7 linked regions of the Nothobranchius furzeri genome follow. The protein of the gene in region 1 purifies or fractionates together with the protein of each later gene. This does not show direct contact. Links are inferred from orthologs where the notes say so. Each region holds a gene or a part of one and is shown in the gene's direction. Other genes may lie near its edges.

The links.
Region 2: the proteins of sirt1 (region 1) and brinp1 purify together in Homo sapiens (affinity purification with western blotting; 6 studies listed by BioGRID and IntAct, with this or other methods). This does not show direct contact. The link is inferred for Nothobranchius furzeri from reciprocal best matches to the Homo sapiens genes SIRT1 and BRINP1.
Region 3: the proteins of sirt1 (region 1) and dnmt1 purify together in Homo sapiens (affinity purification with western blotting; 3 studies listed by BioGRID and IntAct, with this or other methods). This does not show direct contact. The link is inferred for Nothobranchius furzeri from reciprocal best matches to the Homo sapiens genes SIRT1 and DNMT1.
Region 4: the proteins of sirt1 (region 1) and topbp1 purify together in Homo sapiens (affinity purification with western blotting; 3 studies listed by BioGRID, with this or other methods). This does not show direct contact. The link is inferred for Nothobranchius furzeri from reciprocal best matches to the Homo sapiens genes SIRT1 and TOPBP1.
Region 5: the proteins of sirt1 (region 1) and ect2 purify together in Homo sapiens (affinity purification with mass spectrometry; 3 studies listed by BioGRID). This does not show direct contact. The link is inferred for Nothobranchius furzeri from reciprocal best matches to the Homo sapiens genes SIRT1 and ECT2.
Region 6: the proteins of sirt1 (region 1) and histone acetyltransferase KAT5 purify together in Homo sapiens (affinity purification with western blotting; 3 studies listed by BioGRID). This does not show direct contact. The link is inferred for Nothobranchius furzeri from reciprocal best matches to the Homo sapiens genes SIRT1 and KAT5.
Region 7: the proteins of sirt1 (region 1) and recql4 purify together in Homo sapiens (affinity purification with mass spectrometry; 3 studies listed by BioGRID). This does not show direct contact. The link is inferred for Nothobranchius furzeri from reciprocal best matches to the Homo sapiens genes SIRT1 and RECQL4.

What each region holds. Positions count from the first base shown.
Region 1 is NC_091752.1:5,646,093-5,649,387, reverse strand, and holds the end of sirt1 (NAD-dependent protein deacetylase sirtuin-1), read left to right. Parts: coding exon 1-33; intron 34-122; coding exon 123-202; intron 203-1,253; coding exon 1,254-1,437; intron 1,438-1,536; coding exon 1,537-2,049; intron 2,050-2,214; coding exon 2,215-2,507; 3' UTR 2,508-2,516; downstream 2,517-3,295. UniProt on the Homo sapiens protein: NAD-dependent protein deacetylase that links transcriptional regulation directly to intracellular energetics and participates in the coordination of several separated cellular functions such as cell cycle, response to DNA damage, metabolism, apoptosis and autophagy.
Region 2 is NC_091746.1:56,499,192-56,503,198, reverse strand, and holds part of brinp1 (BMP/retinoic acid-inducible neural-specific protein 1), read left to right. Parts: intron 1-2,391; coding exon 2,392-2,614; intron 2,615-4,007. UniProt on the Homo sapiens protein: Plays a role in neurogenesis and brain development. May suppress cell cycle progression in postmitotic neurons by inhibiting G1/S transition.
Region 3 is NC_091745.1:3,328,669-3,333,106, reverse strand, and holds the start of dnmt1 (DNA (cytosine-5)-methyltransferase 1), read left to right. Parts: upstream 1-1,518; 5' UTR 1,519-1,696; coding exon 1,697-1,743; intron 1,744-2,112; coding exon 2,113-2,149; intron 2,150-2,603; coding exon 2,604-2,711; intron 2,712-2,806; coding exon 2,807-3,059; intron 3,060-3,150; coding exon 3,151-3,223; intron 3,224-3,299; coding exon 3,300-3,381; intron 3,382-3,462; coding exon 3,463-3,503; intron 3,504-3,574; coding exon 3,575-3,629; intron 3,630-3,716; coding exon 3,717-3,800; intron 3,801-3,872; coding exon 3,873-3,982; intron 3,983-4,438. UniProt on the Homo sapiens protein: Methylates CpG residues. Preferentially methylates hemimethylated DNA. Associates with DNA replication sites in S phase maintaining the methylation pattern in the newly synthesized strand, that is essential for epigenetic inheritance.
Region 4 is NC_091747.1:45,084,437-45,088,443, forward strand, and holds the end of topbp1 (DNA topoisomerase 2-binding protein 1), read left to right. Parts: coding exon 1-154; intron 155-295; coding exon 296-459; intron 460-543; coding exon 544-672; intron 673-748; coding exon 749-838; intron 839-1,080; coding exon 1,081-1,242; intron 1,243-3,590; coding exon 3,591-3,719; 3' UTR 3,720-3,781; downstream 3,782-4,007. UniProt on the Homo sapiens protein: Scaffold protein that acts as a key protein-protein adapter in DNA replication and DNA repair. Composed of multiple BRCT domains, which specifically recognize and bind phosphorylated proteins, bringing proteins together into functional combinations.
Region 5 is NC_091756.1:57,533,535-57,537,541, reverse strand, and holds part of ect2 (protein ECT2), read left to right. Parts: intron 1-2,711; coding exon 2,712-2,836; intron 2,837-3,799; coding exon 3,800-3,919; intron 3,920-4,007. UniProt on the Homo sapiens protein: Guanine nucleotide exchange factor (GEF) that catalyzes the exchange of GDP for GTP. Promotes guanine nucleotide exchange on the Rho family members of small GTPases, like RHOA, RHOC, RAC1 and CDC42.
Region 6 is NC_091750.1:47,314,434-47,319,237, reverse strand, and holds the start of histone acetyltransferase KAT5, read left to right. Parts: upstream 1-1,661; 5' UTR 1,662-1,730; coding exon 1,731-1,760; intron 1,761-1,840; coding exon 1,841-1,907; intron 1,908-4,736; coding exon 4,737-4,804. UniProt on the Homo sapiens protein: Catalytic subunit of the NuA4 histone acetyltransferase complex, a multiprotein complex involved in transcriptional activation of select genes principally by acetylation of nucleosomal histones H2A and H4.
Region 7 is NC_091759.1:4,679,000-4,683,798, forward strand, and holds the start of recql4 (ATP-dependent DNA helicase Q4), read left to right. Parts: upstream 1-1,564; 5' UTR 1,565-1,769; coding exon 1,770-1,853; intron 1,854-1,934; coding exon 1,935-1,968; intron 1,969-2,043; coding exon 2,044-2,144; intron 2,145-2,266; coding exon 2,267-2,413; intron 2,414-2,552; coding exon 2,553-2,710; intron 2,711-3,165; coding exon 3,166-3,967; intron 3,968-4,041; coding exon 4,042-4,124; intron 4,125-4,201; coding exon 4,202-4,301; intron 4,302-4,369; coding exon 4,370-4,535; intron 4,536-4,731; coding exon 4,732-4,799. UniProt on the Homo sapiens protein: An ATP-dependent DNA helicase which unwinds dsDNA with a 3'-overhang in a 3'-5' direction. Does not unwind more than 18 bp of dsDNA. May modulate chromosome segregation. The N-terminal domain (residues 1-54) binds DNA Y-shaped DNA better than ss- or dsDNA.

The sequences.
Region 1 (3,295 bases):
TGGCTGGAGTTCAGAGGATCATCCAGTGTCACGGTGAGTTTTAGTTTGCATTTTGTTGTACATCTACGCCGCTGCCATAGCGCTAAATAATCATGTGTGTGTGTGTGTGTGTTTTATTTCAGGGTCCTTCGCAACTGCGTCCTGTCTTGTTTGTAAACAAAAAGTGGATTGTGAAGCTATAAGGGAAGATGTCTTTAATCAGGTACATTTTAAACTGGACCAACAGAACGTTGATCGCTGCTGCTGTTTTTTTACACCTGTAACCATAATGAGAAACTAAAATGTCTTTGGAGGGGTTCGGGTTGGTGAGGACGTTGGTTGATAAATGTCAAGTCATAACGTATACATGTAACTAATTTCACAGTATACTCTCCTAACCCCGGCTTTCCACGGGAGCCGTCAGCAGCACGTCATAGCTGCTGATAGGAACCGCTGTGGTCAACAGAACCTTTTCCACCGGAGCCGTCAGCAGCGCGAGTCGGCCGCGTCTCAGGAGCAGCATGTCGCGGCCCTTACGCGCCGGTTCTATTTTCTACGCGCGACGCCTCTGAAACGGGTCAAGTTCGACATTTTTGGGGAAGGAAAGACAGGAAATGGGACGCGGAAATGGAGAGAAGCTCCCGAGATTCTCAGAATAAAGAACGTACTGCCTTCCAGTTGCTTTACTTTTAAAAAATGTTACTAACTGTGCGTCCCCGTGAGAAGTTATCACCTAGCTAGCGGTCTCCTTTGTTTTTCAGGTCCGTATTGGCGATTATAAAAGGACAGAACATAAACCATGTTATAGTTTTCTCCTGCTTGTTGGTGTGTTTACTGACGAAGTCACTCGTGTGACTTCGTGCTCTGTCGGTGACAGCTGCTCCCCTGCTGCTTCGCGTCTCGTGGGAAGGGCCAAGCAGCAGCTTGCGCGAGCGAGACGTGCTGCTGCAGTAACGTGCTGCTGACGGCTCCCGTGGAAACCCGGGGTTAGCGTTGTTTCCATTGTCGGGTTTGGCTTTTCCAAGCTTTGTTGTTAGAATATTTTGAAATCTTCAGACTGGTTTTATGTGATGTTCAAAGAAACTTTGGATAAATTAACTTTCACAACATCCGCCTAACGAGTCCGTGCGAAAGACTGATGTAAAAAGGGTGTTTGGTGTTGGGACTAATTCAGGGTTCATACTAGAATCTACTTCAGGAAGTGTATCGGTTTAAATAAATGACAGAGCGTGCTTCTGCGACATGTTCCTCTCTAATGCAACGTCGTCCTGCAGGTTGTTCCTCGTTGTCTGAGGTGTCCGGATATTCCTCTGGCAATCATGAAACCTGACATCGTCTTTTTTGGAGAGAACCTACCAGAAATGTTCCACAGAGCCATGAAGCAGGACAAAGATGAGGTGGACCTCTTGATTGTAATTGGCTCTTCGCTCAAAGTCCGACCAGTGGCCCTCATACCGAGTATGATTTCAAGTGAACGTGCTTCTAGATACTTGCCACTCCTCTGTTGTGTTTGAGGTAAACTCCACCAATAACACCATGGCTTTCCATTTCTCTCAGATTCCATTCCTCACGAAGTGCCTCAGGTTCTGATCAACAGGGAGCCGCTGCCTCATCTGAACTTTGACGTGGAGCTACTCGGAGACTGTGACGGTATCATCAATGAGCTCTGTCACCGGTTGAGTGGAGACTTTGAGCAGCTCTGCTTTAACACTTTAAGACTCAACGAGATCACAGAGAAGCCCCCTCGGTTACAAGAACCACGACCAAGTGAGGCCTTGCCTGCTTTCAGTGATGCGGCTCAGCAGCAGAACGAGCCGTCGCGTACGGACTCTGTAAACAAGCCTTCAGAGGAGGCAGAAAGTCTGACTGTTACAGAAACTGCCGATAAGAACATTACACCTTTGGAGCCTTGTTCGAATGTGCAGTGTCCAAGTGAGGACGGTGCGAAGTCTCCGGAGTTACCAAAAGTGGAGATGGGTGATTTTAAAAGCCAAAACTCCAGCTTTGATTATCGTAAACGGTACTGGGTGAGCAGAATCAGCAGGAGTCCAATAAGCAAACGCCTCAACCGTAAGCTAAGCTAAGCTAATTTATACCAGTTACATGTCATTTGTTCAAATGTGTTCCGTCTTTCCTCTGCATGTATTCCTTCACGTGATCACACCACAACTATTTCAGCAGACGTGTCAAAGACAAACGAGCCGTGTTTCATAGATGCTCTGTTGTTTTCCACAGCGGGCCAGTACTTGTTTCAGTCACCTAACCGCTACCTCTTCCACGGCGCCGAAGTCTACTCGGACTCCGAAGAGGAGACGTCGAGCTCCTGCGGTAGCGACAGTGATGAGTCAGAATGCAGTCCTGGTGGGGTGGAGGATGACAGCGACCCAGAGGACGTCAGTGAAGCGGCGGCGGCGGACGGAGAAACACGCATCAAAGACATGTTTCGAAATTCAGCCAATGAGGAAGAGTCAAGTGTGCAGATCGACAGTTCTTCTGAAAAAGCTCACAGTGCCACGAATCAAGCGTAATAAGACTCCATTTTACAAAGCACTAATTCTTTTTTAGAGTGTACATATAAATAGGTTTCATATATATTTTTGAGTCATCTACTTCCTGTTTATCATAAAGTTGAAGTGTGTGTTTGCAGCAAGACTTTTGTCTTTCAGGTTTGCTCTGTTTTCACACTCACTGTGCTTAAACCCACTAGTTACTTTTCTACTTTAGTTCCCTTTGCTGTTGCAGCCATTGTTGCGTACCAGAAATGCAACATTAAACACCCTGAAACACCGGCGTGGCGTCGGCTGTTTTGGACTTGGTCGCTTAGGAATCATTACATTTTAAAATCTGAAGATTGAAGAGGTTAACGAGTCTGAGACAGATTTTATTTTTGCGCATGCAAATTTAGTTCTACTCCTTGAGTGAAAAACTGCAGAAAGATGGTTTTATTTCAGACCAAAGAGCTCAACATCTGCATACTTCTGTTTCTGGAAAAAGCTTTTTTTTTTATTCGTCTTAAGTTTTTAAATGTACTTTGTGATCCTCCTGACATCAGGCAGCTACTTTCCTGGTGAAGCCTCATATTTTATATTTGGGTGTGAGACATGCTTGTCAAAGGGTATATGCTTGTTTATATTTGTACAAAGTCGTACTTGAGACGAATATGGAGACCGGCTTTGGTTATGTTTATTTGTAAGGTTGAAATACATATTCACGTTGAAAATAGCACTTTTTCTTCTCCATACGAAGCTTGTTGTGTTGCTTGTGTCTTATTTTTTAAGATAATTAGCTCAGTGCCTATACTGTTGATCGTATGTTA
Region 2 (4,007 bases), on another chromosome or scaffold:
GTCTGAAAGCTGGGTGGAGGTTTATGGCAAGTTCAAAACAGGGGAGGAGAAGGATTCTGGCATCTTTGAAGAAAAAGGGCAGAAGGAGCTCTGACATGCCTGGGAGGAGGGAGGAGGGGTTTCTGACATTTCTCAGCCGCGTCTGAAAAAAAGAGCTCTTAACTCAGGTTAATACAGTTAAAATGTCTCAGCCAGAAGAGTACCGGTGTGCATATCTTGAATCCTGTCTTTGTCAGTGAGAATATTTATGTTCTGCATCTCACTATGGCATTTTATCTAGGCAAAAGCATGTTCATACGTTTGCTTGTGTGATTACAGTAAAATGTTTTAAATTAGACAGAACGCCAAGCTGCCTTTTTAAAGGCTTCAATCATTTAAAAGTGTCACGATCTGCCCCTGCCTTCCTGACTGTGTTCCTCTCCTGCCTGATTAGCCCTTATTGTTCTCACCTGCCCCTCGTTAACCTGCCCATGTGTTCCTGATTTCCCTGTGTATTTATACCTCCCTTCTTGTGCCAGTCTGTGTCAGATCATTGTTGTTTGTCGTGTTGTTCTCGTTGTTCCTGTCATTAAACCCATTTTTACTTTATCCGTGCCTGCATTCCTGCCTCCTGGTCAGCTCCACCACACTTGGTCCATCATCTCCACCATCAGAACGTGACAAAAAGGACTATATCATGCACGCTTTGAAGCTTTCAACCATGTTATATTTGGATTTCCTCATCAAACACACACAGAACAATATTTGTCTTAAAAGAATAATGTATAAGTCAGAACAAACGACGTTTCCATTGTGCTAATGGTAATATTTTAATCATAAATGGGCCTATCCTCGTAGCCTGGTCTGCCAGACTCTTCCTCTGTTTAATTCTACACAGATAAAGGGTCTGGGAACTCTCCTATTCACATAACCCCACCCCCTGAGAATTCTAACCGAGCTAATCAGCGCTGAGCAGCATATGTCACACACCATAACGCCGAGTTTGTCATAAACATGGCGACTGAAGCGGAGTTCGCAGCGGCTCTTTCCTCTGTTCTAAATGACTTGGACACATATTTAAAACAACAAGTAGAAGCGCTAAAAGTCTTTCTTCTAAAGAAAGATGTTTGCGCTGTCACCAGATGCCATTTTTTGACTACAGCTAAAAAACAACAGCGTCGCGGCCGTCACACACAGCGATGCTCAGTTTCTCATAAACAACGAAGACAGCGGCGGAGTTCGCTGCGGCTCTTTCCTCTGCTCTAAATGACTTGAATGTCTTTAAAACCACAACAAGTAGAAGCTTTAAAAGCATTTCTTCTAAAAGAATAAAAGATGTTTGCACCATTGCCAGACGCCTTTTTTTTACTACAGCTAAAAAAACTACAGTGTCGCGCGGTACTGTCGGCATTTCCGTCTTTTTTTCTGATTGGTTATTTTTGAGCTGCCTAGTCCCGCCCCTCAAGTGCCTCTTTTCCTGTGAATTACCAGACTCATTCTCTGTGCAGAATTAAATAGAGGACAAGTCTCTGGCAGGCCAGGCTACTATTTTCCCTCTGAAAGGTTTAAACTGTCTAACATGATGGAGTTCCTTTAAACCTCAAATCTGGCAATAATTAAAAGGGATTGAAGGACATTTTGTTTCATTTTAATATGTATGTAGCTTGTCAGGACTTTATTTTCGAATTAGCATAATCATAATTATATTTTTAATTAATTAATTAATTATCGTAATCATAATCATAATCATTATTTTAATTTTTTATTTTATTTTAAGTATTCGTTATTTAACCAGAAAAATAAAATAACTTCCTGTCCAAGAGGCAGAAAAAGGTACAGTTACAAAATTACTCAGTTACACTGTAAAAGTTATATTCAAAATTATTGGAACTGTAGACACACACACAGACACACACACACATAAAAGCGTGTAGTAGTCAGGGACCAACAGACAAAAAACAGACCAGTTGGGCTTCCGTCTTGGAGGAAAGATATGTTTATAATAACAACAACAAAAACAACTATTATTATTATTATTATTTAAAGATGAAAAATGCTTATTTTCTTAGAAAATGAAAGTAGTATTCACAAAATGCAAAAGAAAGAAAAATTTCACTTTGGCTGAAGACAAAGAGGCTGAGGTTGCAATCTTTAAAGTCCAAAGGAGAGGATGCTTACTGTGTGTCTTTATTTTACGCAGATCCAACCTCAAAATAACCAAACCAACAACACCAAGGAACACATTAAATTAGTTTTTTAAAGAAAAAAATAACTAAATGTTTGCAGTTTTATGTCATGTTTCTTTTGAATCACAACAGTTCCACTGCATCTTATTTGCATGTTTAGAGTGTAACGGACCAGTTGTGTTTCTTTTCCTCCATTCTCTCCCTCTCTGCTCTCATTCATCTATAGATGAGTTCAAGTCTTTCCTGAAGAGGCTCCCTTCCACTCATTTCCTGCCCATCAGCAGTGTGCATCTTCTGTGGGGCAGTGACTGGGACCTGCAGGCCCGTTACAGACTCCTCCAGAGCTCCCTCGAGATCCAGCGGCTCAAGATCCAGCATACCACCCGCAAGCTCTTTAGCCTCAGCATCCGCTGTCACCACAATCCCAGCCACCAGATGCCTCGGGAGAGGTGGGTAGAAATATGACCTTGATGTGGATTCGCTCAGCGATGTGAACCAGAGATTTAGAGTTCATGCTTATTGAGATGTGAATATAATACAGAGTATGTTCAGGAAATAAAAACTTATAGAATTATTTGTGTTTTCTCTTGTTATGAATAGGTCATGTATAATAAATCTGTAGCTTATGGCTGTATTTTTACTTTACATCAAGTCAGCTTAGTGCTGAGGCTTGCACATGCCCAAAACACCATAGCTCACTCTTGTACTTCACTTAGGAGACTGAAAAGAAAATGTTGCTGTGGGAGTTTTCTTGTTAGGTCATTGCACACATCTGTCACCACCTACCACAGCTGCAGCTTGAGAGCCTTGCCGCTGATGTGCCATAGTGTCAGCAGTACAGCAAATGCCAAGAATGTCTCCAAACCACTTCAGCAAATCAGAAAACACCATGCCAGATAGGGCAAATCACCGGCTGCCCGTGAGAAGCGCCTCTCTAACTACTCAATGTAGGTGGCGTCTTTGTGTAAATGGGAACAGCATCAGTTAAATATTAACTGGAGTGGTCTGAAAATGAGCCATTGTCAACTGTCCCTGACAGAAAACGGAGCACACCCACATTTGTCTGAGCGAGTTGGCACGGGTTCGTTCTGAAGTGTTATCAAAGAGCTGCAGAATGCGCTTCCTCTTCCATGGAGTAAACATCAAGAGTGCCTGATGGCAGAGGAAATAAGAGCAGCGTGTTTATTTGTTTGCTGGTGTGAAACAGCTTTGCATCAGATGGAGGACTTATTTGTTTTCATCACATATTTTAGGAAGGTCTTACATTTAATACGGAGCTGTTGTTGTGCGGGGCGTCGTTTCCCTGGTCTCTCCACCTCCTTTAGTCCTTTCCGTTGTTCCTTTCGGATCAAATTTATTTCTGCTTTTCTAGCTTTACTCAGAGTAATAACTGGTACAAAATGTGTGGGGAAGATTTACTTCAATGGCTCATGTGTGAATCCAGCATTGGAATTCAGTCTGATATGACATTAAACACCCCCCCCCAACAGGGAGCTGAAAGCACATATAGTATTTCCATGATGTGAGACAATTGTTTACAGAGGCTTCTTCCTTTAAGAACATCCTTAGTGAGGTAGAAAATGTAATGTTCTTTTAGAAAATCTCTGCAAATTTTGAAAACCAACTTTACTGGAATTTGACTCATTCAAAAAAGTTCAGGATGGATTTTAGCTTTGCTAATTTTTTCACCTGTTACTCGTCAGTCTTCACTCCGCTGCAACCATTTCTCATAGCTAACTGTCATATCCTCAGCTCCTGTTGTTATATATATATATATATATATATATATATATATATATATATATATATATATATATATATATATATATATATATATATATA
Region 3 (4,438 bases), on another chromosome or scaffold:
TAATTAATGAGCATCAGACCCACGTGACCACAGAGCTAGCTCCGTGGAAAGGCCTCAGTAGAGCCTCGGTCTGGCTTGGAAACTGCTCCGGGATTTTGAGTCTCTGTGTTTGTGTATTTTTTTTCGGATATTTTTTGTGCAATTGTTGGACAAAATGACTTGCTGTGGCATTAATTGCACTAATAGAGCATCCAAGGAGTCTCCACTTCATTTTTTTCGGTAAGTAAAATTATATTCATGTATTTTAGGTCACTGCCGAGCTGAGCTTAGATTTTAACATGTACTGTTTAACCATGAAATTTAAATGTAATAGGGTAAACCCCAGTGCATTTAACATAATGCTGGACTTTAGAAAATGGGTTGAAATATAACATGTTGGTGGAGCTGGGTTCCGACTATCGGCTTGTGGAGCTCTCGGGAGACCTGTTTTCCACCCGGTTCTCCCCTCCCCGCAGCTCGGCGCATCTCTGTCTGATCGCGGCTCCTGACTGCTATGCGGGCTGCCGGCTTGTGGAGCTCTGGGATGGAAACCTTTCCACCCGGTTCTCCCCAGTGGCAGCTCTGTGCATCTCAGATCGCAGCAGCGCTTGTCTGCTGTGCGGCTGCCGGCTTGTGGAGCTCTCGGGAGACCTCTGTGTTCCACCCGGTTTTACCCAGCGGTCAGCCCGGCGTATCTCTGACTCAGAAGCTCTGGTGTTGTGCACAGTTAACTCCGGTTGTAGCTAGGTTGCTACCTCTGTTAGCTTAGCTCCCACCTCCGCGTTAGCTTTGGGTTAACTTGTAGCTAGTTAGACCGGGTGTCGTCAGTAGATCCCAGCCTTACAGCCCCACCCTCAGCGCCACCTCTCTTCCCTTTTGTGGAATTGTCTGGGCTTGACGGAACCTGTGACACAGTCAAAATGGTGGTGGTGGCCACCTCCCATTTATCTTCAAAAACGTGTTATTGGAGCATATGGAAACCCAATGTCCAATATTTATATGTCGATGGAAATAGCCAATCGTAGTAGAGCCCTTCTTGCTAATCAGAGGCGAGAAAGGAGCCATCTTCTTTGACATCCTATGATATCACATGACACGCCCTGGACACATACATGTTTGACAGCTATCCTAGTAACAATCTAATATATAAATTACAGTTAGAGGCTTATTGGTTTCAAACAGATGTCGGATACAGCTAGTTACATCAAAACGGTGTCATGCCTCCTGCAGCTTAAACTCAGCGGCAATAATATGTCTTGCTGTTTTTGCTCATTATTAAACACTTCCGCCTGGTCAATGGACTCTAACATGTGTGAAACAATAGGGGAAGATCCGGTTGATTTATCAAGAACCAAAAAACGTAAACATTTTGAATAATATCAAACTAATGCCCTAAACATGCTTAAAAATCGTTTTATTGTTATAAAATGTGTTTTTGTGTAAAACCATGAATGCAAAGAAGAAATTACAAACGCAGAACGGAAACTGCTTTACCTATAGACTGCCGTAGTGGTACAGTCCACAACACCCGGGTTTCCGCGCGAAAAGACGGCCTGCGCGCGCTCGAACTGCTTGTAGCATCCGCTTGAAGAAGCGCCACTCGACTGGTAGTCATCTCTGAGTATTGCTGCGGCGATTGACGGCGGCCTAACGCGTTGTTTTATATCAGTTTTTATTGCCCGTGTCATCTGCTTCTGCTTTTAGTTAGCTGGTCAACATGCCATCCAGAACGTCCCTGTCTCTGCCAGACGATGTCAGGAAAAGGTTGGTAACCTCGGTGCTAATACAGTCATAATGCAGCCAGTTAGTAAGTCACAACAACGGCGTTCAGAGCGTATGTCTTAAATGCTACTCGTTGTTTCTCATGCTCGTAGTGAGCATCCCCACAACTTTGTTTGCATTAGCCGCTTCAGCTAGCGTTAGCTTGCTGCCTCTTATCAGTCTGGTTAATAGTCCATCGTCAGTAACCTGCTACTAGCATCATTAGCCTGGAAATGGATGAGCAGCGAGGGAGTTTTTGGCGCCACGTAGGAAGTTTTGTTTCCTAACTCTGGTTGCTGTGCTGAACGTTCTGCTACAGTTTCCAGACAACGTGACTCTCCGTAAGCCGCTGTTGTTTTGATGTGTTTGTAGGTTGGAGCTGCTGGATGAGGATGGATGCTCAGAAGAGGCGAGTGAAGTGTGCACCCTCACTACTAGAAAACCCGATCAATAATTACGGGAAATGAAAGTTGCTTTGTATGTGTAAAGATCAATAACTACACTTTATATAGTGGCTCTTAAAGAATGCATCTCTCGTTGGTTTTATTTTAGTTGTGAGATATGAAATGTGTTTGATAGCAAATATAAATAGCAGAGCTTCCAAAAATGTTCATCACTCCCCAAAATGTCATTTGGCACGCATAAAATTCTCATTTCAAATATGACAAAAACGAATCCCTAGGAAATTTTGCCATTGACAAAGAAGATTAAGAAAGTTACTGTCTCACATTTTAATTCACCGACATGTCCTAAATGGTTAATTTTTAATGTCATGAATGCAGATAGTTTCAAAAAATTGTAACTTATAATTTTATAGTTAAATACATTGGCTGTAAGTTTTATGTTGGAAATATTCGTTTCAGGAACAAGTGAAGAAGAAGATCAAGTTGGTGCAGGACTTTCTGCATGATGATGCTCAGGACCAACTGACCAGTCTTGAAGAAAAAATAAAAAAATCAGAGATCTCAAAGGTGGGTAACTTCCAAAAGACACAGATTATTAATGTTCATGTTATTTCCAATAAATCCATTTATGACATGTTGTGTATCTGTTGTACTTTCCTCAGGAGGTTTACATCTCAAAGGTGAAAGCCTTGCTGGGCAAAGAACTTCATCTTGAGAATGGCTCACATGTTGATGGCGTGGAGCGTAACGAAAAGAGAAATGGCCTCTCTAATGGCTCCCATAAAGACGAAGAGGATGGAGATGGTGATGTTTCCATGGATACCCAGGAAGAAGACACGTCATCATCTGTCAAGTCACCAACCACCTCCAAAGGGAAGGGGGGCCGCAGGAGCAAGGGGAGCGCAGACACAAAAAGTCAGTCTGCGACTCGTTTAGTGTTCATCCCGAGTCTCGTTTTTAAAGGCGCAGCATCTGTAGCTCATGGCGAGTCCTTTTGCATTTGTAGAATCACCAGCCAGCAGCAGAGTCACGAGGAACAGTGTGAAGCAGCCAACCATCTTGTCCATGTTTTCTAAAGTGTACGTATGAGTTTTATGCTGTTTGCAGTTTTAACAAATAAGCAGGAATAAAATTAAGACCAGCTCTGTTTTGCAGCCAAAAGCGCAAGTCTGATGAGGTGAACGGAGAACCTGTCAATGAAACAAGTGAACCTAAAAAAGAAGAGGCCGTTGATGAGGTGACATTTCCTCCTCGTGTGCTAATATCGGTGTAGGTTTAGTCCCGGAGATAACGTTTTACATTTGATCGCCTGTTGCAGTCTCGGGAGGAGAAACGCCTGAAAGTGGAGTCGGATGAAAAGTAGGTCATCTCTTGAGTTTCGATGGTCCTGAAGTGGATCTACGTTTTACAACTCTTCCTTTTTTACGCAGACCTGCTGCTGAGGAACCAAAGCCTGAAGTTAACAGGTCTGCGTCAGCAGCTAAGGTAGTGAAGTGGTTCATTCAAACGTTTACGCAGACAAAGGTGATCCGTCAATAGGCTTTGATACAAAGCCCGGTTGTTTTTTTTTAGACTCCGCCCCCCAAATGTCCAGACTGCAGACAATACCTGGATGACTCCGATCTGAAATTCTTCCAAGGAGATCCTGATAATGCGGTCAGTCTTGCTTTCTTAGTAATTTAAGCACTGAGAAGTCGTCGTCTTGACCGGTTTTTTCTGTATCTTCAGCTGGAAGAGCCTGAAATGTTGACGGATGAGCGTTTGTCCCTGTTTGACGCAAACGAGGATGGGTTTGAAAGCTACGATGATCTGCCGCAGCACAAGATCACAAGTTTCAGGTGAGCTTCTCTGTGGGGATTCAGGTGGCTCTTCTTGTTGCTTCTGGTGCCACCGTTACCCCCAAATTCCACTACCTCCGCTCCGACACGAACGCCGCAGCAAAATCGGTCCCGTTGTAGTCAATCAGAGCAATTCCACTACTGCGGCTGTGCTCCTGCAGTGCGGCGCCGTGCGCCGCCCTCTGTTCTGGCGTCCGGCAAAAATAGAATCGATCCTATTTTCGCCGGACGCCGGAGCACCTCCGCAGTAAATGGACAGAAATCACAATCGTCCAACAGGAAAAGGAGCAAGCACACTTTCCGTTTTTCACAATAAATCGATAAACAAAAAGCGTTTCTTGTTTCAAATGCACAGGTTTAACAACTTTTAACAACTATCAGTGGCGGCTGAAGTTTAAATGCACAAAAGTAAGCCATAAATACAGTTTCTATTATCAAAGTAGTCACACTTTGTTG
Region 4 (4,007 bases), on another chromosome or scaffold:
AGAGCTCCTAGCATCGCCTTTCCCCTCACTAAACCAGCAGGAGCTCCGGAGCATCAGGACGAGACAAGAGAAGAAAAGCAGCCTCCCAGATTCCAGCTGTCCTCCCTCAGTCCTCAGGAGCGCATCGATTACAGCCAGCTGATAGAGGAGCTGGGTGAGTCCCTCAGAGCTCCAACCTGGTCACAGAAACCAAAAGCAGGAGATGGAATATGATTTTTATTTTAGCTTGGTCTAGTTCGTGTCTCCTGACCAGGTCCAGTGTGTCTTAGTCTCTCTGTTCTTTGTCCTACTTTAGGTGGTGTTGTCCTGGACAAGCAGTCCTTCGACCCCAGCTGCTCCCACATCATCGTAGGGACTCCGCTGCGCAACGAGAAGTATCTTGCAGCGATGGCTGCCGGTAAATGGATCCTGCATCGTTCCTACCTGGAAGTCTGTCGCTCCCTGGGACACTTTGTCCAGGTGAGAGTCCGCCTCAGTCCTTCACCAGTAAAACTTATGCTAAGCACAGCACTCACTCTCCTTTGGTCTCCTGCTGTGGGGCAGGAGGAGGAGTATGAATGGGGCAGCAGCTCCATCCTGGAGGCTTTACCCTCCATCACCTCTCAGCAAAGGAGGCTGGCCTCGTCGGCCATGCGCTGGAGAAAAGCTCTGCAGGGAAGCTCTGAACAGAAGGTACATCCAGACCGGTTCGCTGTGTCCTCGCGGTGCTAGACACGGTGTCTCACCTGGAGAAAAATGTGTTTTCCAGGGAGCTTTCAGCGGCTGGAGCGTGATGCTGAACATCGACCAGAGTAGAGAGTCCGGATTCAGGAGGTTACTGCAGTCAGGCGGGGCCAAGGTCGGTCATGGCGTTTACATCCCAGACACAGAAGATGCTGCTTATTGGAGGCAGCACTGATTTAATAACACTCTTATTCTTTCAGCAGTATTAAAAATGTTTAAGTAATAAGCCACAAAACAACTAATTACATTTTTACAGTAAAGAAAATCATTAATATGAACATCCTGAACTGGGAACCTCTGTTTCTTTATGTTTCCGGACCTCTGGGCTCAGTTTTTTGACGTGGAGTTTCTCTGCAGGTGCTGCCAAGTCCCTCCTCATCTCTATACAAAGAGGCCACTCACCTGTTTGCAGACTTCAGTCGTCTGAAACCTGCAGATTTCAGGGTGGACGTAGCAGAGGCGACGGCTCAAGGGGTGACATGCTTGAAACCAGAGTACATCGCAGATTACCTGATGCAGGTCCGCTCCGCTCCCCAGTTCGGGTCACGTGTAGTTACTGTTACAAGTTTTTGCAAAGAAACTTCTAATTCTTGCTGTGGTTTTAGTACACGTACAAATTATACATCAACATGTAGGTGTTTGTCTCATCGCTGCAGGATCTATGGTTTTCTCTCACATCCCTTCAGAGAGCACACACCCTTATTTCCACGGACTTTGTTCATATTGTAACTCAAAATTTCTTTCTAAACAAAAGGTGAAGGGTTGATTCAATGCATCACGTCTCCTACAGAAAACAAAAAATAGACGTGACCATCAGCGCCTTGGAAGTTCAGGAATTATTCCAATTCAACGTTACGTTTTCCTGCGGAGATCGCTTGAGGCTGACTTGGCCAGATATGTAAGCATTGCGTAATGTAATTAGCTGCCATTTAAATAGATGGGTGCTGTCTACTTTTTAATAATAATAATAATAATACACACGCTTTCATACACTCACATTCACACACTGCTAGTGTAGCCACAGCCGCCCTGGGGAGGTCTGACAGAGGCGAGGCTGCCATTTGGCGCCGTCGGCCCCTCTGACCACCACCAACACAGGCAAGTTGGGTGAAGTGTCTTGCCCAAGGACACAACAGCAGAATACCCCTGGCGGGAGCTGGAATCAGACCCATGACCTATGATCATGAGGCAACCCGCTGTACCACCTGAGCTACTGCTGCCCTAACTTTACGCATTAAGCATCCAGAAAAGCCGCCAAGCTACGCAGTTCAGACCGGACAGGAAGTCGAACATGAAAGCCTTGCAAAACATTAGGACAAGTAAAAATGAAGCAAAGTCACATGCAGCTTTCCAGTTTCCTGTGAAACCTCCGTAGCTGAGGTAAACGGAGCCAACAGAAAATAAACAACAGATCTTCGATACGCGATGCAGTCTCCGTGCAAAGTAAGGCTGCACAATATACTGCAAATATATCGTTATCGCGATATCAGCATGCGCAATATGCATATTGCAAAGAACAGATGAGTATTGCAATGAATGGTCAGCTCACATATTTGCTACACATAATAAATTATGTCAATCAAACGAAAGCATGATGTTTTTTTAACAAATCAAATGGAGCTCTTCACCCATTGGGCCAATTGGGTGGGTTCTCATAGGTTAGATGCCCGCCCCCGAGGCGGACGGCACTTAATTTTGATGGTTAGCAAACTCCTGAGTTAGCTTTGTTCTGCTCTTCCTGCTGATTCTGCTTTTCCCGGGATCCACTGATCGCCTTTTCTTGTTATTTTCTTTTCCTCACATCTTTTGCTTTTCTCATTTTTATGAATTTTTTGTCTTTTTTTTTATTTCTTTGTTTTTGATTATTTTTGTTCCTGAGTTAAGTTTTTATTTATCGCAAGTAATATCGCCATCGCAATATTAATCACTGTTATCGCATATGGCAGGTTTTCCTAATATCGTGCAGCCCTAGTGCAAAGGCAGCTCAGTGGCCTAGTGGTACGAGAGTCTGCCCTGACCCTGTCTTTGGTACGAGTCTGCATACCAAAGACTTATACCTTCCCATATGACACTCGGCATCAAGGGTTGGATTGGGGGATAGTTCCCGAGCATGGCCGTGTCTGCAGCTCACCGCTCCCCACATAGATGGGTCAATGCAGAGACAACTAATGGGGCTTTAACTTTTAACTTTACCACAAAATCGTGTGTTGCGTTGCAATTCTCTGTTGGATTCGTGACCTCGTGGGACCAGCTGAGCTGAACGCTTTTGCTACTGTTTCAGGTCTTAAACGCTCCCCTCCATGGGGATGGAGCTCACTCTAATTTCCCTCTGGGATTAATAAAGTATCTTTGAATTGAATTGAAATGCGTCTGTTACGTTACGCACCGCTTACGTATCCAGTGGAAAGCGGGGGTTACTTTTTTGTTCCTGTCTGCCTCTTGTTAAATTGTCCACTTGGGAGCAAACGCCACAGGAGTGTGGTTTCCATGGTTACCCTAATGAATCAGTGGCAGCAACATTAATATTTTTACTTGGGGTTAGGTCAGAATTTCTCCAGAAATATTCTAGTTTCTTAATTAATAAACAGTAAATCAACCAAATGTGAGCAAATGTGCTGACTGCTCAGCAACTATAGAAAACATTTTGAGATTAGCATCAGTAGTTGAGATTATCTGAGCACAAATTATGTCTAAAGTGTATTTATTTAATTCAGAACAAGGGAAGGTCAGAATAACCACATTTTGAAGCTTACTTCCCAGGCAAAAGCTTAGTTATTGTTACAATTCATGGGATTTAAATTTCTTAATCACTTTTACATAAATGTAAAGAAACTTGTTTTATTTGTTTTTATTGTTTCCCCTTTAAGGAGCCGACTCCACCTCTTGAGCTGTACCTCCTGAGTGCACCTCCCTCTGAAGAAGCATCATCTACTCCGTCATGTAAACGCAAAGCATCATCCGACACCTCCAGGCTGAAAAAGAGCCGTGTGAACTGAAACACGTCGACTGTAAAAAGAAATTGTTATTGTCTTGTATAAAATAAAAAACATTCAGCATCTGTTTTTGTCATTTTAGATTAAAGTACTGCATCTGCTGCTGACAGAGACCAGTGGTGATGTGGGGCTGGAAAATGATGAGTCATGGTTTGTAACAGGCTGCAGGGTGGTTTTATGGCCTGTAGGGGGAAGACAAGCATAAATTATCTAACAGGGTGTAAACATCTTTTTTAAGTGTTATTTAAAAAGTTTTGGCTGTGTAAGTTTCAAAATAAAGAAGACAAGTGC
Region 5 (4,007 bases), on another chromosome or scaffold:
ACACGCTTTGATGGGGATATCCCGATATGCGTTTACACGACCAAACATTCGGGTTAGAAAAGGGTTACCCCAGGTGTAGTAACCGGGTTTTTAAAAACCCGGTTATGAGCATATCCGGGTTTTTGGCGGTGTTTACATGGACCTGCGGAACCGGGTTATTGTGAATATTCGGGTTTTAAAAGGGTTACTGGCTGCATGTAAACGCACTCATCGTAAACAAACATTTAAAGAGCAAGTCACCCCTTACAAGAAGCGTACTTCACTCCCACTTCATGTTTGAATAATGCAACAAATGCTGTTGCCTAGCAGACCGAGAGGGTGGAGCCACTAACAAATACACACACTCATGACATTGTGACATCATAATGTACCAGTTTACATCATAGCATACCCCTTAGCCAATAGCGGTGGCAGATTTAAATTCAAATGCAGTGAAGAGTTTTTACCTGACAACGGCACAACACTGCCAGTTTTAGGCAGAAATTTTTAATTTTAGCTAAAATGCACTAAAGTGCTAAACTATTGACTACACGTGTCTGCAGCACGATTAGACACGCATTTATATAGTTTATCAGAAAAAAATAGTTGATTTGGGGGTGACTTGCTCTTTAACTCCTACACCTGTCGATGCTTCACTAAACAGTCGTCTCTACATGACTAAAGTTTAATGTCACCTTTCAGTAATAGTACCCACACTAGCGTGTCTTGTCACAAATGTAATGTCATTTCCTACATGTAGAGATCCCTTTAGCATTATAAATCACACATTGCTGTTACCTCTGAATTCAGAAGTAGGATTTTCAAGCCTACTATGTCAGGAAATGGCAACAACAAGGTTTCCCAAGGTTGGATAAACTCGTTAAACCAAGTTTAGCTCACAATCTAACCTACCCAGGAAACAAAACCGGCTTACTCTTAGTAGATTTAATTATAAAGTCCTTCATGCATTCCAGGTTCAGTGTTCTGTTGCTAACAGAGTGCAGCATTCCTCATTCTCTTTAGCTTAGATTTTGGGTTGCCCTACTCTTGCCACTCGTCATACAAACATGTATACCGTTGTATCGTTCAAAATGTTGCCAGTTACCCTGAAAGTAAGATGAACCAATAAGATTAAAGCCGACCAGAAAAAGGCGGAATTAAAGGGAGAGTCCGCTTCTAGAAGGATGAACTTGTAATGCTAGAAGCAACACAGCAGACATGTTTCTCAGGTGTTGGATTTGAAGAATGATAAAAGACTAAGAATAACAGTGGAAGCTATCGTAGACCCTTTTACTGTTTGTAAACAATATGACGTCAGCGAGAATGCGCGCGCAGCTCGGCAACAGAGAATGGCGTTGTGTCAGGCTTTATCAAGCTACGCTGCGGGGTTATCACCGGCAAATCTTGAATGTTATATTATTAAACTCACTTTAACGAATGGCAACAGACTCCCGGATCCCTGTGGCATTACGGAATGGGTGGAAGACGTAGGTGCGTGGCCCGATATACATACGTTTCTAGTGGAGAGGCCCAGTAAGTACACATGTGAGAAGCTACAGGCATACAAATCGTTAGATGCATACAAATATGTTGTCTGTGGCCACATACAGAAAGTAAAATATCACGACATAGACTCTGAGTTTTGCGTCTTGAAGGCAGAAGTCCTTCCTAGCCAAAGACAAGGACACAAGACTGCTATATACGAGGCTTGGGTCAGAGTAAACAAACCAGAGAACTGTGTACCTGCATGGCAGGGTGAGTATAGCATAGGTTTCTTTTTTTAGTGTGCTCAGAGTACAATCGTGTTAATTTTTAGAGAAATACAGTTTATACTAATATGCAGTGGGAAAATACAGATGAATTAGAATGAAATGTTAATTTCATTTGCAAACCAGCAAACGGAACTTACTTTAATTAATAGAACACACGTTAACCAGCTTTCTGGTGTAATCTTAGTACATAATTACCTTACCTGATATAAAATGGGCGCTACAAACTCGAGCATTTCGGATCGTGTTTTCAGTCGAGTTTTCATCAACCCTTTTGATGGCCTGCAGCCACAGACGCCTCCGATTTTGTTGAAATGGATGTGCTCCCTTCGGAATTCTGTAAAGTTTCAGTCCACTGCTTGAAGAGAAGCGATTCTGGCATCCATACACGCAACAACCCGACATTTTTATGTGCTCAGAACTTCAAAACAAAGGGTTTAAAACACTGTTTTAGTATCGAGTGTGAATGAGGAAGCCTTCACTCTCGTTGCCAGGCTGCGCGCGCAACTTTTGATGACGTAGGTAGTAAAAGGGTCTATAACTCGTTAGTCGTATGTTTTGAGAACATTGAATAGCCAAGATCTGACTTTTGTTTTATCTTAGTGGGCTTCCTCCTTTGAAACCAGAGTACTTGTCATGTTTGTAAAAACAAGGACAAATGATGATGCGAGGGTAATAAAGAATTGCTGAAACTGGAACATTAAAGCTAAATCTCCATTGGCTGGCCAGTTTCAAAGGTGGATATGGGTTGGTATAAATCTGTGAAACTTCAGTGTGATCCAGTGGAAACACTGACGGCTTCATGTAAATGCATTTAAAACAAGGTGTGCGTTTTTTTTTCTTCCTCGGCATCATCTTTAACAGAGTAATGTTTGTGTTGCATCTTGAATAAAACACGTGATAGGTTGACCCGACATCCCGCTGCTCTCCTTTACTTCATCTACAAACTTTGTCTTCCTTCAGAGAGTTCCAAGCCATCCAAGAGCTCAACTCCGGCTCTGTCCAAGCAGTCGGCCAGGTGGCAGGTCTCCAAGGAGCTCTACCAGACTGAAAGCAACTATGTAGACATTTTAAACACCATTCTACAGGTAGGCGTGGGTGTGCATGCGCTCACTGCATGCACTGCTCTAACACCTCAGCGTGTTGCCCCTGACAACAGTTTTCAGTTAGCCAGCGATCAACTAAAGGTGTGTGTGTGTGTGTGCATGCGTGTGTGTGTGTGTGTGTATGCGTGTGTGTTTGTGAGTGTGCATGAGTGTGTATATGTGTGTGTGCGTGCGTGTGTGTTTGTGAGTGTGCATGAGTGTGTGTGTGTGCATGCGTGTGTGTTTGTGAGTGTGCATGAGTGCATGTGTGTTTGTGAGTGTGTGTATGTGTGTGCGTGTGTGTGTGAGTGAGTGTGCATGTGTGAGTGTGCATGTGTGTGTGTGAGTGCATGTGTGTGTGAGTGTGCATGTGTGTGTGCGTGTGTGTGTGAGTGAGTGCATGTGTGTGTGAGTGTGCATGTGTGTTTGTGAGTGTGCATGTGTGTTTGTGAGTGTGTGTGAGTGTGCATGTGTGTTTGTGAGTGTGTGTGAGTGTGCATGTGTGTTTGTGAGTGTGTGTGAGTGTGCATGTGTGTGTGTGAGTGAGTGTACATGTGTGAGTGTGCATGTGTGTGTGTGAGTGCATGTGTGTGTGAGTGTGCATGTGTGTTTGTGAGTGTGTGTGAGTGTGCATGTGTGTGTGTGAGTGAGTGTGAGTGTGCATGTGTGTGTGTGAGTGTGTGTATTTGCTGTAACTTGACTCAGCCGTCAGCTGGAGTCAGACAGTCCAGCGGCGAAGCAACCAGGCTGGTTATTTTTTGACCTTCCTGTCAAATTTCTTTGTTTTTTGTGTCTTCTCTTGAATTTTTATCTCTATACTTTTACTGAAGTGAAGAAAAATCTGTTGAAACTGGGTTAGGGTTTTACGTTTCAAGTCTTTATAAAAAAAAATGAAGCTGATGGTGACGATAAATGTCCGTTTCATCAGTGGATTACTTCAGAAGTCACGGTGCATTTTATTTCCAGCTTTTCAAGCATCCACTGGAGAAAGAAGGCCAAGTAGGAGGACCCATCTTGGCTCAGGAGGAAATGAAAACCATTTTTGGCAGCATTCCAGAAATCTACGAAGTTCACACCAGAATAAAGGTAGTGTTTTAAATGAGGGTAATAGTGATGGGAACTCTGGCTCTTTCATCAGAACTGGCTCCTCACAGTTTTTGTTCCTTAAATGAAT
Region 6 (4,804 bases), on another chromosome or scaffold:
ACTCCAAGTCACTGGTAACTCAAATAAAATACAAAATCAACACATGCATTCATAAACATCAGAAGACTGATTGTCATCCTAGACAGAACAAAGAAAACAAATAAACATTACCAGAAGTCCATGCACCTGAGGTGACAGACACTGCCATCACATCCTCTAATGTTTGTTTTTCAGTTGAAGTCTTAATGGAAGTGTTTGTTAAGCTGCTAAAGTAAAAAACTGTGATTGAGAGCTGCTTCCTTGAACTTTCATATTTATCTAATTTAGGCACTTTTTAAATTGTGCACAAAGTGTTGATTGGATTTTTAAAGAAAAACATTCAGCCAAGAAAAATATCATCTCTGGAACAATAATTTTTTTTAAATATAAAAACCCTCATTGTGTTTGTGACATCATTATTTACGCATCCAAAGCTGTACCCTGGAGTGGAGGAGCAGAATAAATTATAATTTATGAATAAATCTTCTTTTAAAATAGAAAGACAAGCTGCCTTCAGCAGTGCTGTGTCTAATTATTTTAAATTTGACATTAATGAGGCACCAGCGTCTAAATCTACCAGAGATCTAACGAGATGACAACTTCAGGTGCAATTTTATTGTTAATTTTAACATTTTACTGGACACATGAATTTAATCAGATGCTTCTTAACAGCTCATTAAGGAGGGTAAACATGGGGGTTGTGTTCTCCAACATTTCAGTGATGTACTATTAAATTAGGAAGATTTTCTATTGCACATGTTTAGAAACTGATTAAAATCTGATCAAAATTTAAGTTTAGTTTGAATGGTTTGTCATACTTTTTTTTACAGCAGGAAACAATATGGATGTAAACTTGTGATATAGTAAAATCCATTTTGCTCCATAAGCATGTTACTTTGTAAAATTCCCTCTTTCCTAAAAGAAAACAAAACACATTATGAGTCGGCAAAGCTCTCAGCAATTACAGGAAAAACTAATAATCTCACCTCTATAATAATGTGATTAACTGCAGCATTTTTGCTCCCAACAATGGAAGACTGCTGCTCTCGTGTGGCAGATTGGTGCAAAAATACACTTGCTTCATAATGCAGTACAAACCTTTTTAACTTCACACACACACACACACACACACACACACACACACACACACACACACACACACACACACACACACACACACACACACACACACACACACAGGAAGTTGACTTACCATGTCACTTTAATTTACAAATTAACTAATTTGATCACGCAATCCAAATGTTGTTGTAATGGCTTGGGTCCGCCAGAGGGCGGAAAAATCTTTACTCTAGACAGGATCGAGTTCTCGTGTTCCGTGAAACTGACCTAAATAAAACATATAAATGCCTTATAGACTGAGTTGGTTTTCATCAATTAAATCAAACGACTAAATAAATTTTTTTTAAAGTTCACATAGATAAAAAAGTCAAATAGAACAGCATTTCTATTTTGTTACTGGTTTAGTTGTATATAGTTTTTATTGTAATTATTTGAGTGGTGTATACATTCTTTGTGAAATTCAAATACATAAATTCTCTTCCTGTTTAAAACATAATGTGTTATTACTATTAATAACTCAAGTAGTGAAGCCATTCTGTTTGCGTTGTTTGCCTCATTTAAGATAGCTCACTAACTTCCGGTGACAGGGCACAAACAACTATCTTGACGTATGTTTTCATCTTTGGCGTGGACCGGCATTTTCCCACAACACCCTGCTGCTGCACTCACAGATGACGAAAATGGTGGACAGCTCGTCTTCGGTAGGTTCTCCAGAGAAACTATGCTACTTTTTAGACATTGACCATTATTTGGTTGTAAAATAACGTTTCATCAACAACAGGTCGAAATTGTCGAAGGCTGTCGCCTACCGGTTCTTCGTAAAAACCAAGAACACGAGGACGAATGGCGTAAGTGTTGTCCGTTTGTTTCCCTGGTGCTAAGCTAATGCTAACTATCGAAGCTCAGCTGGCTGTTAGCAGACACCTCGTCTTCCAGGTAGACAAAAAAACTAAAGTGTTACTAAGATTGAGAAGGTGTGCTAATGTAGAACGCTTTTGAAGCCACTCTTTATTTTTGAGGCTTAACTGTTGAATCCTGTCTGCAGAAGCGTAATCAAATATCTTTATTAAATGTCAACAAACATTCATGTTAATCTTTATTGATTTAGAATATGAACGTTCATTTCTCGCGCAGGAATAAAAACCAACTTCAAATCGTAAGACAAAATGAAGACACTAATAATACAAATGAAATAATTAAGATTTAAAATTAAAATACCAAGTTCAACACACTAAACACTGTTATATCCAGTGTTGGGGAAAGTTACTTTTAAAAAGTAATTAGTAATAGTTACTAATTACTTTGTCAAAAAAGTAACTCACTTACTAACTGAGTTACGAGATTATAAAAGTAACTAATTACCAAGAAAAATAACTACTTATTTACTTTTTTCATTAAAGAATGCAAGAAAATGGGTTAATTGAACTTATTTACTATTAATTACTACAATAGTGAAATATAAATGACTAGTGACTGGAACATAATAAAACGTATGTCAAAATGTTTTTTGTAAACCTGAATAATTTAAATAAATAAGCACTTAACAGGAGGAACAGGAGCATTACACTTATCTAAACTATTAAAACGTCACTGTGTGATATTTAACAAGACCCCAATCAGCTAAAATTTAAAATTGCAAATAGAAACACCTGTAAAGGTTCCCGAGCCTTTAAATGGTCTCTCAGTCTAGTTAAATGACAGAAATGAATGTAAATTACAGTATTTTAACTTTTCCAACTTCACATAATTGTGTGTTATTAGTAGCATTTCTGTTGCTGGTAATCTAGTAATGGTTAAATAAATAAATAAAAATCCTTTAAAATGACAGTAGAAGAGGCACAAATCTGATGGAGGACTTACATTTACTAACGTGGGTCAGACCCAAACACAGAAGAGCTGAAGCTGGGTGGTTCTAATAACACCTGAGCTCCATGACGTTTGAGACTGATGCATCAGTGTTACAGCGGGACTAAAGACATGATCAGAAACAGGCTACAGCTGGATGATCTAGGAAGGTAGAAGATCAGGACGTCTGAGTGGTGAACAGGTGAGCGGACCTTCAGGACGTCCCGCTGTCACGTTAAAGGGCACGGCTGCAGACCCACACCTGCAGCCGTAGACTATTCATCACGTCTTCCTCGTTCTTCACGGGCCGTGATGCACTTGGATGAAAACATCTGCCTCTTTAGCTCCTGATCAGCTGATGACAGCTTCAACACACTGCGCTGCTTAACGCACACATTTCTTATACGTAACAGAAACGACATTTTGATAAAAGAAGATGGTAATTAATTAGGTTGCTCGTTACTGAAAGAAATATTTTTTTTAGTAACGCGGTTATTTTAACCGGCGTTATTCCCATCACTGCTCTGTTGAGTCTACAGCATGCAGTGACTGAGACAGTGAGGGTCTCCGCCCACCCGGCCAATCATCATCGGGTTTGTAAGTGCGTTACTGACACCTCTCTCTCCCTGGCTGCAGCTGAAGTGTGGCGGTCAGAAAGCCTCACACTGTTGCTCAACGTTCGACAAGCACATAGTAACGCACAACCTTCCATCCCCAGTAACGGTAACGGTGTTGCAACAGTGGGAAAAGTAATTAATTAGATTATTCCGTTACCCAAAAAAAGAACGCCGTTATTTTAAACGGCGTTATTCCCATCACTGTTATAGCTGCATAGAAATGCATGGAAGGGCTCTGATAAACTACAGTGTAATTAAACCTGTAGTTTAAACTAGAGGTCGACCGATATTGGTTTGATTGCCGATATGTAAAAGGTCAGCTGATGTCCGATTTGTGCAGCCGATATTTTTATGTCCGATATCTAAATATTTTCACCTTATTTTCATGCTAAAACGTCAGATAACATCAGTTGATGCACAAAATTTCTGAATCAGTTTTTTAACCAACTGTTAAATCCTAATTTTGAACACAGCTCAGTGTTAATATCAGACATTTAAATAAAAGGTAATCAAACAAATCCGTTAAGTGACGTGTCAATTATTTGATATTCAAAACTGGTAAATAAAAATAATTTTGAGTTGGAAATCATTTTTAAAGCAGTGATTAATTTGAAATACTATATTAAAATATTCTAATAAATAGCGTACTTACCCATTTTTAATAACTAGTGTCTCTCAAAACACGACGGCAAGTCTGATCTCGTAAAAACGAAAGTCATTTTCTGCTTCCTGTTCTCAAGTTCGGCCTGATGTGACTATCGCACGACTTTCCGAGAAGTGCTCAGCGGCGCATCATGTTTGACCACTTGACTTCTCAAAACCGCAATGCTTCTGCCGATTTATAAAGAACGCCAAATATTTGCCTTGTATATCGGTCTACCCCTAGTTTAAGCTGTTATTGGTTTAAAACCTAGTTTGACATCTGTAAAGAGCGCTTCAGGGTTTAAAATGTTACTTATTTTAAGGTTTGCAACAAAAAGAATGCTAAAGTTCTGAATTCTCTTGCACAAATAAATCAAAAGTACTTCAAGTAGGTTAAACAAACATTTTTTACGTTGATAAAGGACAACATTTTGTCACTGTTGATGCACCAAAGCCATAAATATCCATAGAGATGGTTTGTGAATAGAATTATAACATAAATTCTTGTCCTACTTGAGTTTTCTGATAGTTTTAGGAAATAAATCCAACATTTATTTTTATTATTATTTACAGCGTTGGCTGAGATTCTCAGTGTGAAGGAGGTTTCTGGGAGAAAGCTGTACTATGTTCACTACATTGAC
Region 7 (4,799 bases), on another chromosome or scaffold:
AAAATGGTTTATTTGTTACACTCAGTTGTTCTGTTTTTATTCATGTCTGAAGATGTTTGCTGATGAAATCCCTCTTTGATCTTCTCATAGTATCTCACAGATTTTTATCTGTAAAGTGTTATTCTCTTCTGTGATGTTTATTTGAAACGATAAGAAATGACAAACGGCTCAGAAAACAATGCATGGACAAGTTCAAAAATGTTGTGTGTTGGGAGACAGCTGTTGATTCACAGCGGCTATACTCTGAGCCCTTCCAAGATATCGGAGCTTCTCGGCTTACAGCAGCCTGAGCAGGGAGTGGCTGGGCGTAGCCAGCTTCAGCTTGTTTTCTTAACCAGCTAACACCCCCCAATTGGGGGGCCTCTACAGTTTAATTTCCCAAACATCTACAACTGTCCACATTGTCCAAACACAACTAAAACCACAAACGGCTCAGATGGGAAACAAGGCCATTTTAAATAGTAATAAATTAAGATACAATGATATTTGAACTTTATTTTAGAAGAGCATCTGACCTTCTCTGGTGCCTGCTGGAAAAAAACCCTTAAACAAATTTAGTTGAGGACCCCTGGAATAAATAAAACAATTGACTAAATTTCCTAAATGGAATTTGAACTCTCAACCTCCATCCTGTCAGCACTTTCACGCAGGGCAGCTCTTCTAAAATAAAGTTCAAGTATTATTTTATCGTAATGTATCAAAAACCAAAAATAGCTTTTTTTCACAATCTAAACCGTTTTGATTGTAGCTGTAGCTGTGCTCGGGGAATGGAAACAATCACTGACACTTGGGACACGAAACTCCAAAGGCCCCCAATTGGGAGGCACCAGGGCCCAAAAAAAAAAGGCCTAGGGCCTAAGCGACAGAGCCTTGAAATGGCTCATTGTGGAAGATGTTGAAAATGTCAAGAATAAAACTGCTGACATTGCTTAATGTGAGAGAGATTTTGAGCAAAGATTTCATAAATATGTTTTTTATAACACATAAAACTTAAAAAATAAATCCATGATATGTCTCCATTAAAGGTAATTAAAACCAGAAGATGCACATTAAAGGTTGAAACACATTACTGCAAAAGAACTGATTCAAGAGTGGGCTGATGCCAGAAACAGCCAAGAAAGTACCTTAAATTTCTGTTGCAAAGTTGCATCTCTTTAAAATTCAACAAAAACGTATATATTTTTAGTTTTGTTTTATAGTTTATTACACGCTTATGTCAAATAATTTATGTTTTATTATGTGATTAGTTTGAAAACTATTTCTGTCCCTTTAATTTTTACCTGGAAGAGCGTTTCTCTTTTGAGATTTTCATACAGCGAAAATTTTAAATTTTATAGTGATTTTTACATATCTATATATTTTATTATCATTCTTGAATTTACTAAACACAAAGTATATCTTGAAAAAAATTCAGGTACAGATATACATAGTAATATACACAGTTGAATTGAAAACATTTAACTTCTACGCAAGTGATATACAGATTGGGGGATGCGGTGATGAAAACTGGCAACACACGGACGCGCGAAAATCAACATTTAGCATTTCCGGGTTGATTCAAAGCGTCATAAAGGTTTTAAAAACATGATGTTCTTCGCCTTTCTAAGTGTAAAATACATTTTTTAGAGGTATTAAACGCTAACTAAGCGCATTACGATGTAAAACACACAGTCAGACTGCGCTTATTTCCAAAAAGAAACCTGTTTTTAGCCGTTAGCTTGACAAAAAGAAGTGGAGTCCGGATCCTTAAACCGACTGAATGGATCAACATGGATCGCTACAATGAGGTGAAACTTCTGCTGAAAAACTGGGAGCAAAGTTTTGTCAAACTGCACCAGAGGAAGCCCAACAAGGTGATTTCTAGATGTCCCGTTTGCTTATTGCTGGATTATTTACCTTTTCAGAAAAGCTAAATGAAGGTTTCTCGTTTGCAGGAGGACATTGATCAAGCTCCAGAACAGACAAAAAGTCAGTCCTAACTATAATCAGCACTGATCAGCTGTTACATGTCTTACCGCACTAATAATACGCGTGTTTTTGTAGAGCTATATAAGGAGTACCGCAGTTTAAAACAAGCCAAAGAGAACAGCAGCAGCAGGGATGCATCCAGCAGTCAGACTCCAGAGAGCAACACAACACCCAAGGTTCTGATCACAACTTCTTTGTTTACTGTAATTTATTTATTCTATTTCTTAACACTCTATTCTTCACAAATCACCTTCTGTTATTTACTAATTCTAAATAATTAGCATATTTTCTGTTTTAGGAGTCTGATTGTTGGGGTGCCCATCTGAACCGCAAAGCAATGCCGGTGTCTGCTCCCAGGCTGACTTCCCAGGACAAAGATAGTCTTATGGCGTCCCCTCAGTATTATGGACTAAAGCTTAAAAACAACCTTGCTGCACTCAGTAAGGTAAGGATCACTTAAAAAAACTGATCTGAGCTCAATTATTGCTATAAAACAGAAGAAATCTGTCATCTCAACCTTTAAACAAACAGGATTATCCATCATGTGTTTCCAGTGCACTTATTTATTTATTTTTTGACTAAAGGAGAGACCTTTGTCATTGAAGAAAGTACACCGGACCGGTCGAGTTCCTCTAAATTCTTTGAAAGATGACCAGAGCTTACAGGAGAACAGTCCCAGGTCCTCCACTGATGCAGGAAAACCTGAAACAGCTGATCGAGACCTCAGCCTCTTCTCTCCAAGGTAATTAAAGACACAAGCTGTCATGTTACGCACATAATATCAACCTAGTTGACTGATAAATGTGTCCTTTTGATTAAAATGCTGTAATATAACTTAAACGTGTTTTGTTGTGATGTATAATCTAGATTAGGGTGTCCAAACCCTTCAAGAGAAGGGCAGAAATTGTCAAGTATTTTTAATATATATATTTTTAACTCTAAAGTTATTTTTATAATGAATTTTGTATTTACACAGCTCAACAACAGGCCTAGAAATCATCTGGCTACATCGTCAGCCTGCTAGGGGCCACACAAAAACACTATGAGGGCCTCAAGTGGCCCTCATACCACACTTTGGATCTAAATCCTCTGGTTTTGTTTCATATTTATGGATCAAACGAGAACCAAGAACGGAAAATTTTTAAGTATTTTTCAGAAACTTGGTTATTTAATGAGTTTTGTGTGTTTTTGTTCCAGAGGAATGAAGCCATGTCTGGATTCAACGTCTCGTGAAGCTCCGGATTCAGCAGAGCCTGAGGAGCAGTTAGAACCATTTAAAGCTAAACCTGCTGATGATACAAACCACAGCTCCTCTCCAGCCAGATCTTCTCTCCTCTTATCATCTTTGTCTCCTCAGCGGCGCGCCGAAGCCACTGGAACGTTAAATGAAAGTGCAAAAGACGGAGAAGCTCCACCGGACTCGGTTGGTGTCGAATGTAGCCGACCTTTGGTTGGTGGTTTGGTGAGACGGCCTTCCCTTCCTAACAGGCTGAGCTTCGTTGACAGGAAGTGGCTGGAAAGGTGTCAGGTGTTCGGAGAGATGGAAGCTGAGGAGAAACCTGGAGGAGGCAACCAGGATACTAAAGCGGAGACAAATGAAAGAAAAGTACCAGAATCAGAAGGTGAAAGCGTGACAAAAGAGGAAAAATACGTGGAGGGTGAAAGAAAGGGATCAGTAGATTTCAGAAAGGAGAAAAATCTTAAGAATGTGAATGGAAGATGGGAAGGAGAAGAAAAAAGAGAGAAAGAAAGTGAAGAGGTGTTCGTTACACCAGGAAATGACGGTGAGAATAGTCCTAAAAGTACAAAGAAAAGGGGAAGAAAGAGGCAGAGAGAGGGTGGCGACACTGGAGAAAACACACCTGAAGATGGAGGAGTGAAAAAGAGACGTAAGAAAGAAGAAGAAAACTCTAAATCAGGTGATGGAGGAGGAGAGAAAAGAAGGCGAACCAAGAAAAAACATGAAGATGGAGCGGAGGAGACGGAGATAAAACCAAAGGTGAGGGAAAAAATCAGCATTTTTGTACGTTAATAAATAATTTTCATTAAATAAAATCTGTGATATCTGATCAGGTTCCTCAGGAGAACTTGTTTGGAGAGTTAGAGGACGAGTTCAGGACTTCCGGGTCGTGTCAAGCACAGCCGGTGAAGGCCAGGTAGGAACACGGGCGGCCCCAAATAAACACACCTACTTTGGCTTTGTTCTATTATCTTATTGTTGCGGTTTCCACAGAATAAGGAAAGGCGCAGAAGGTAATTTTGTGAAGATCAATCTGAAGAAGAAATCTCACGTGAAAGGATACGCTCTCCGAGGGATGGCTTTACGCAAACAGGTGCGGTTCCACCAGACTCGCCCAAACGTTCAAGAGCGTTACCTTTGACTGGTGTGCTCTTCTCACAGTTGTACGTGCAGAAATTCCAGTTGAAGGGCGAGCGTTTCGGTGGAGGCGGGGGCCGTTTTGGTGGAGGACGGAGGGGCTCCTTCAGAGGGGGGCTCAGTCGGCAGGGCGACACCTGCTACAGGTGTGGAGGAACCGGGCACTGGGCCGTCGAGTGCCGGGGACGAGGTGACGCCGCATCAGCAGCACTCCCACAGACTTACCGGTTTTATTTACAGCAAACGGTCTTGGTGCAACACCGACATTACTAGAAAACCAGCTGATTTATGAGATAATTGTTCATGTTGGATGGATAACAGCGTGTGCACAAGATCAGTAACAAGACCTATGTTGTTTGATCTCAGTCCTCTTGTTTTGTTTTTAGCTCCACAACTTCCTGTTTTGGAGGATAAATCCGAAGAAGAAGAAGAAGAATCATTTGAACTACCAACC